2 linked regions of the Mus musculus genome follow. The protein of the gene in region 2 purifies or fractionates together with the protein of the main gene of each other region. This does not show direct contact. Links are inferred from orthologs where the notes say so. Each region holds a gene or a part of one and is shown on either strand. Other genes may lie near its edges.

Region 1 (4,085 bases), on a different chromosome or scaffold from region 2:
TGCCCTGGCCTTCATCCATTGCAATCCCAGCCTGTCAAACAGCCTACAGTAAGCATCACACACCAGGCCGTAGGTTTCCTGGGCAGCCTCAGAGGAGGAATCAAAGGTGTACATGTCCTTCATATAGAACTCCCGGCCACGGAGAAGACCAAACCGGGGCCTGGGCTCATCCCGAAACTTCCTTGTAACCTGGTACAACAACAAGGGGAGCTGCTTGTAGGAAAGTTTCTTCTGGGAGGCAACCAGGGCTGTAACCGCTTCCTCATGAGTCGGTCCCAAGCAGTACTCTTTGCCGTGCCTGTCTCTCAGTCTCAGCAGCTCCCTGCCCATCAGGTCCCAGCGGCTGGTGGCCCGCCACAGCTCAGCTGGGCTGAGGCTGGGCATGTTGATTTTCTGCCCGCCGATGGCCTGCATCTCCTGGTCTATCACCCGCACAAGCTTCTCCACGGCACGCACTGTATAGGGCATGAGGTGGTAACAGCCAGGGCTGGCTGGAAGGATCAGGCCCACTTGCAGCATCAGCCGCTGGCTCTTACAGGTCAGGTCGCTAGCTCTGCCCTCCAGAGAAAGCACCTGGTCTTCCCGAAGGTTCTGAGGCTGGAACATGCGGGATAATACCAAGCGCTGCCCTCTCCCGGGCGCACGATGGTAACACTTGTGGATGATGTATCTGCAGTGACGGAGGCTGCAGGCAGCCAAGGCAGACAGTGTTCTGCATCTTGTCAGCAGACCTTCCATGACACCCTGGCACCTGGAGAAAAATGAGTCACGTGGGATGACGATTAACTTGGTTCTCAGCACGGGATCCAAGATGTGGATCCTTCCATGTCTATTAGCCCAGCACATCACAGTACCACTTAAAGAAATCCATCTGGGTATAGTGGCAGATGCATTTAATCCCAGCACTCCAGTACTTGAGAAGCAGAGACAGGCAGATCTCTGAGTTTGAGGCCAGTCTGGTACATAGTGAGTGCCAGAACAGTAAGGGCTATGTAGAGAGACCTTTTTTAAAAAATACAAAAACAAACAAAACAGACAAAAAACCAATAGCAGCAGCAACAACAGAAAGTCATATTCTTCTGATTATGAAAATGTTACCAGCCTGTTGTGGAGATAGCATCCAGTTATGCGCAGGCTCTAGATAAGGCAGTCGGCTCTAAACCAACTTCCACTGGCCACTTCCAGCAGCCTGCCACATCTGTAGCTACCCGTGTGCTAGAGTTTCATCATGAAATGATATAACCACCAGATCAGCCTTGTACATTTACTGTTGAGAATTTTTTTAAAGGTAGAAAAAATTCTCACAACAGTTTTTGGCACAGGCCATGAGCCTGGTGGATGTTTGATATTGTTACTATTTCAGAACACTGGGGAGAGACCCTGAAACAAGTCAATTGCAATCTCACAGGCAACAGCGAAGAGCAGGCTTTTTTTGGTTTTTGTTTGTTTGTTTTTTCTTCAATTCCTTGTCTCGATCCCTACTAAGTCAGTATTGCTAGGCGCTGAGGCATATTTGTAATCCCAGCACTTGGGAGCCAGAGGTAAGAGAATCAGCTAGGTTTGCACATCTGAGTTCCAGGACATCGGAGGAAATGAAAATCTGCCGCAACAAAAAAGTCAATATTGTTTTAACTGCTCCTCTCACCCACCACACATTCCTGGTCAGTTTGCATCTTCACTGTCCAAACTGTTGAATTTCTGACCTATATATTCTCCCATCTTTGGAGAACATAGTACACGCTATTTGAAACTTAGTGAGGCAGAATCTCTTCAGACAATGGTGCCCCTGCAGATCTGAGTATCACCCTGCAAAGCACCCTCTGGCCAAACCAGAAACCTGCCCTCATCTACTCTGCTCCACAGTACTGTCACAGTTTTTAGTCCTCTGGCCCAGCCTGCTCCACCTGACCAGCCTGCACCTCAGTTCAAGATACCATCATCCGTGACTGTTAAAACAGTCTCTACTGGCCTCCTTGCATTCCTTACACTTTCAACTTAACACAGGCATTGGTAATGACAGTTTCTTGCTGCCTTTCGAGTGTACCGCAGATCTCACCTGTAAGAGGCCTTTTCCCTGCCTTCGCCCTATTTCAGGTACACAGTACATGAACACACACACGATCCAGTCAGGAAAACTGCACACAGTGTGCTTGCAATGCCTAGTGCCCTAAAGGTTTGTGTATTATGATGCCCAATTCATAGGCTCTGAGATGGATCATAGGGTCATAGGCTCTGATTTGTGTCAGGTGACATCAAAAGGCCCATGGCCATTCTGGATTGCGGGAATTTGCCTCCAAATACCACCAACGTCAGCGCAGCATACAACAGCGATGAAACTTCCAACCCCTGCTCTATCTTGGCCTTTACGAGGAGTGAGCGTACTGCGGTCACTTCATTCCTCTTTAGAACCCTAAGGCGGCTGAGCCACCAGGTCATCCCCGGGACCGGTCCAAAATGGGCCCTTTTAGGAACTCTGTGCCTCTAAGTAAGGGCCACGCAAGGATAACTAGGGCGGAAGTGTTGCTCTCAAACAGCGGGGGTGGAGATGGGGAAAGGTGAACTGCAACCGAGCACACGACTATCCAATAGCCTGTGGCGACTGAGAGGATGCACGCGAGACAGCAGACACCAGATCGTGGGTGCGCGTGCCCAGAAACTGTCCCTAGATTCGCTGGGCCCTTCCTAGCCACCCTCCAAGTCCAGCGGCCACCGATGCTCACCAGCAGCAACTCAATACCTGAGTCGGGCGCTCTTCAGTCACGCAAAGCCAGTGCGCCTGCGCCGACATGGCCGGAGCCTCGCCCCCTGTGTTTCTCACCAATCGGAAAGCCGCACTCACGGGAGGGGGCGGGATGCTCCGGTCCCACGCTCTGGAGAGAGGCTGGAGAGGTTTTCCGGAAAGCAAACCAAAGAGCCTCGCTCTCCCGCCAAGATTCCGGAAGTGCCCTCTAGGAATTAGCAAGGTTCAACTCTATGATCAAACCTTACTTTAAAGGATTTGAGTCCTGTTTTTACCGCCCACTGCTAGGCCCGGTCTATGTGGAGAGCAGGTTCATTGACAATAGCTATGTTTCAAATCTACGCTATGATTGAACAAGCCACAATTTAAATGAGTTTAAAACTATGAAACACTTGCATAAGGTCACCTGTATTACAATAGCCAAGGAAGTCTTTTTAAAAAATTTTATGAAGCAGAGATGGGGTTTAATAAAGACATTTTAATATAGGCTGAAGCACTAGGCTTAAAAGCACCAGGGGAACTGGAGAGCACGGATGTGGCTTCTCAAAGGCGAGTGTCCCTGAGTCTTGAAGATGCGACTTGAAACATTCGTTGCTGTGCTGGTTAACAACCACTGCTGTGCTTCAGAGAACCAGTGTTCGGTTCTCAGCACCCACAATCACTGAAACGCCAGCTCCAGGGAACTCCAAAACCTTCTGACCACTGAGGATACCCACCTCCACTCCCACACAAACTCACACACACATACAATGAGGCTGGGTCTTTTCTTCATTTACAAGATGTATATGTACATGGTTTACATAAGTGTGTTATGTGGTATGTTTGTATGTGTGTAGGAACACATATACACGTGTGAACTAGTGTGTGAAGGCCCAAAGCTTTCATAGGTGTTTCTCATCCATCTCTACCTTATACACTGAGGCTCTGAACCCCCTCTTCATGTTTCATGGCACCCACTTTACCTGATGAGCTGTCTCCCCAGCCCTCACAAAATAGTTTATGAATAATTACATAGTACACGCTACTGCTGCAGCTGTGGGGAAGCAGAGAATGGGGAAAACAGCTCCCAACATTCATGTTAGAAGTGATGGCCTGTAAGCTGACACAGTCAAACTTCAGCCGACCAAGTGTCTTAGTCTGCTTTCAGTGGCTGTGAGAAAGATAACAACCAAAAGCAACTTGGGGAGGAAAGGGTTTGTTTTAGCTTATGAGTTACCGTCCATCCCTGGGGTGGGGGTGGGTAGCGAGGAGTCAAGTCTCAGGACAGGAACCTGGAGACAGGAATTGAAGCAAACACCACTGAGAAATACCGCTTACTGGCTTGTTCCTCATGGCTTGCTCAGCC
Region 2 (3,560 bases):
TAGGAGATATTTATTAAAACCACAGACTCACTGGGTAGTGGCAAGCACACCTTTAGTCCCATCAATTAGGAGGCAAAGACAACTCTGGGAGTTTGAGGCCAGCCTGGTCTACAGAATGAGTTCCAGGACAGCCAGAGCTACACAGAAACCCTGTCTCAAAAACAAAACAAAACAAAAAATACAGAATCGATCACTTGCAGTATGAAAGGTATCTTGGAACTTGTCTCACCTAGGAACCATTTTACAGATATAAAAAGCCAGAAGTTGAGGGACTTGTCCAAGGCACCAAAGGGACAGTTCCCACCTCTCAAGAGCTCGACCCTCCCCACCTCAGATCAGCGCTCTTACCCTGCAGCTTCTCAAACATCACTTAGAGCATAAGCAAAACAAACAAACAAAAACCCTGTATATTTTTAAAGATTTTACAGAACAATAGTCAGGTGATGGTGATTGAAGCCAGTGAAGCAAGAACTTCAATACTGACCTAAATCCCTAGCCCCAATAATCTATAAATCAATATGCTACATGGAGCAAGAATAACAGGTTTCACAAACGTCAGTCTTGCAGAACATAGGAAGTCATGTTTCCTATGAATTAGCAGGAAAAGGCCAGGAAGCTTCCTAAGACATAGCTGAGGTGGAGGGCAGTGAGGAGGATGCCAAGGACGCAGGACATGTATGGCAGCGTGCACTGGGGGGCTGGGGAGAAGGCTCAGTAGATAAGGAGGCCCTGCCGCTGATCCCCAGACCCATGTCAAAGCCAGGCCAGCGAGGGCACGCCCATTACGCCAAAGCTGGAAGTCGGAAATTAAATGATCCCTGGAGCTTGCTGGCCCGTGAGTGTACCCTGAAGGGCAACCACCCGTGTGCAAAGAGACCTTGTCTCCAAAGCAAGATGGAAGGTGAAGGAGGACGGTACCTGACATTGACTTCTGCAGCCTGTCCCATGTGTTCTGAGACACATGCAGAGGGAGGGAGGGAGGGAGGGAGGGAGGGAGGGAGGGAGGGAGGGAGGGAGGGAGGGAGGGAGGGAGGGAGGATAGAAAAGCTAGAGAGAGAGAAGGGAGGAAGGCGCCATATGAAGCTTACTACTTTGCATGCTTAGTTTTTATTCAAAAAAGAAAGAAAGAAAACAAAGACTATAAAGCAAATGAGGTAAGCAGGCTATATAACTACATGACCTCCAGGGTTCTGCGTGTACATACCATCAATACTACGGAAATCCAACAAGTAAGTCCTACTATCCACTTGGTATAGCTGTAGACTCATTTTGGAAAATGTGCTTGTCACAGGATTCTTCCTTCGTACACGCAAATAATAGGGGTTTACAACCTAGCATTGGATATGGACAAAAACAAAGGCACATCATCACATCAGTTCTCCTACAAAGGGCTTTGGCTACAGGCTCACCAAACAGAGAGAGCACTTGCCTTCTTACCTTCCATTCATAATCCAACTGCTTGATTGCTCTACAAACTTCTGCCATGATATCATTGGGTCGGCTTTGACTTCGAATTCCCAAATGCCATTTTGCCTTCCGTACACCTTGGTGTTTGGATTTCTGTGGGTTTAATTCATCCAGGGTGTGCCGGGCCCGTGGTGTTTCGGCAACCAAGAACGGTACTCTTTCAGGGTGAGGCCGAGTTAAATGGTGGTCGTCCAGGAAAGAGTCAGGTGGGCTGGTTGCTAGGTAGAAATCTTTGGCTTCATTCATTATTCTCCTGTTGTCTATGATGAGGTGGTAGGCGACGGCTAGTGGGTCCTGGTGGTTTCTGTTGTACAGGCAGCTGAGGACCTCCTCCTCCGAACACTCGAACTTCTCACACACTTCTTTCAAGGCTTCGTCATCGATCATGGTTGAACTATAAGATGGGTCCTCAGGAAAGAGATACTTCGGAAGGTCCTGTTTAAACCACTCGTGTTCCCTAAGAGAGACAGCAATGGTGGAAGAAGGGTTTTCAGTTAAACCAAGAATAAAAGTAATAGTTTCCAGAGTTTAGGATATGAATGAGTTCATACTCATGCTACATTATTACAGTTGTTCTCTTTAAACTGGTTTCCCCTTCTAGCTCATACTTCATTGAATATGCTGAGAAAAACATTAGTCTACAACCTATTTTTTATTTATATACTTTTATGTGTATGGGTATTTTGTCTGTATGTACAATTTGCACACCAGAAGAAGGCATTGGAACCTACCGTAGATGGGTGTGAGCCACCATGTGGTTGCTGGGAATTGAACTCAGGACCTCTGGAAAAGCAGCCAGTGCTCTTAACAGCCGAGCCATCTCTCTAGTCCCCTGCCACTAATTTTTGAGGATCAAGGCAGCCAAATTTGGTATGTCTACCCAAAGGACAATGACTGAGGACAGTCTTTTTCCAGCCCAGAAAGAAACTATGTTGTGTGGCTTCACTTTTTACACTATTTCATGTTATAGGAAAAGAGCTTACTAACAAAAACAGTGTGCAATATCATCCTATGCATTCTTACTCCATGCTGAGTTTCACGATAAACAATTCATCCATTTAAAATCTACCCTCGTCCTTTCAACCCAGTTCTATGACTCAAAAGACCAACCTCTGAACAATTTCATATTGTATTCATTAATTCTATATATGAAAGGACATGGAACCATAACAAGAACTATACTAAAACTTAAAAACAAACAAACAAAGCAAACACTGAAAAGAATAATGGTTTTTAAGGGTATCTGACTGGTTTTTGAGGTGGAATCTTCACTCCATAGCCCAGGCTGGAAACACACTCACGGTCATACTCTTTCAGCTTGTCAAGTCCTGGGATCATGGGTGTGCGCCACCAGATCCAGCATTTGCTATCACATTTCAGTTATGAAAAATATCTAAAACATGTGCGAATATACATCCCACTTACATATTTTATAATATCCATTTAATTAACTGAGTTTGCCTCCCCATCTGCCATGCCGCGACATGGAGACTTCTTTTCAGCAGGTCTTTTTGTTTGTTATTGTTTTTGAATCAGGGTCTCTCTACAGAGCTGACTGTCCTGAAACCATTATGTAGACCAGATTGGCTATGAACTAACAGGATCTCCCTGGCTCCACCTTCCAAGTGCTGGGATTAAAGGCGTGGACCACCACACCCAGCTTCAACAGGACTTCTAGCATAAGGAGTCAGTGGCAAGGAATCCAGCTCAAAGTCCCATGTGCCCTAATGTTTTCTACTTATTATTCGTCTTTAGTTCCTTCTACTTTGAGTATCAGAAAAACGTGTACTCTAGACATCAGAAGATCAAAGAACTAAGGAAAACAAAAATAAAGAAACACTGATGACAGAGTACGGTGGCCAGGGAGTACTGAGTGTTCATGAGACGTGACTTACCGCAACCCGGGAAGCACAGCTGCCACTATCAGTCATGCCTTATTTAAACTATCAGGTTAAACCATGATACACAATGCAGCCATTTCTCAATACTCAATTGAGCACAATAATCAATTTCCTATGACTCAAAGTATATTGCCACAAGAAAAGTGTGTCATTAATAAAATGAAATTTCAGCTGGGCGTGGTGGTGCATGCC

What was found. The genes of interacting proteins can lie anywhere in the genome.
Region 1: the proteins of Prkaa1 (region 2) and Pars2 purify together in Homo sapiens (affinity purification with mass spectrometry; 3 studies listed by BioGRID and IntAct, with this or other methods). This does not show direct contact. The link is inferred for Mus musculus from reciprocal best matches to the Homo sapiens genes PRKAA1 and PARS2.

Annotation. Positions count from the first base shown.
Region 1 is NC_000070.6:106,649,784-106,653,868, reverse strand, and holds the start of Pars2 (probable proline--tRNA ligase, mitochondrial), read right to left. Parts: upstream 2,801-4,085; 5' UTR 2,738-2,800; exon of another isoform or gene 2,721-2,737; intron 1,601-2,720; exon of another isoform or gene 847-1,600; coding exon of another isoform or gene 739-846; coding exon 1-738. UniProt on the Homo sapiens protein: Mitochondrial aminoacyl-tRNA synthetase that catalyzes the specific attachment of the proline amino acid (aa) to the homologous transfer RNA (tRNA), further participating in protein synthesis.
Region 2 is NC_000081.6:5,174,850-5,178,409, reverse strand, and holds part of Prkaa1 (5'-AMP-activated protein kinase catalytic subunit alpha-1), read right to left. Parts: intron 1,925-3,560; coding exon 1,438-1,924; intron 1,332-1,437; coding exon 1,205-1,331; intron 1-1,204. UniProt on the Homo sapiens protein: Catalytic subunit of AMP-activated protein kinase (AMPK), an energy sensor protein kinase that plays a key role in regulating cellular energy metabolism.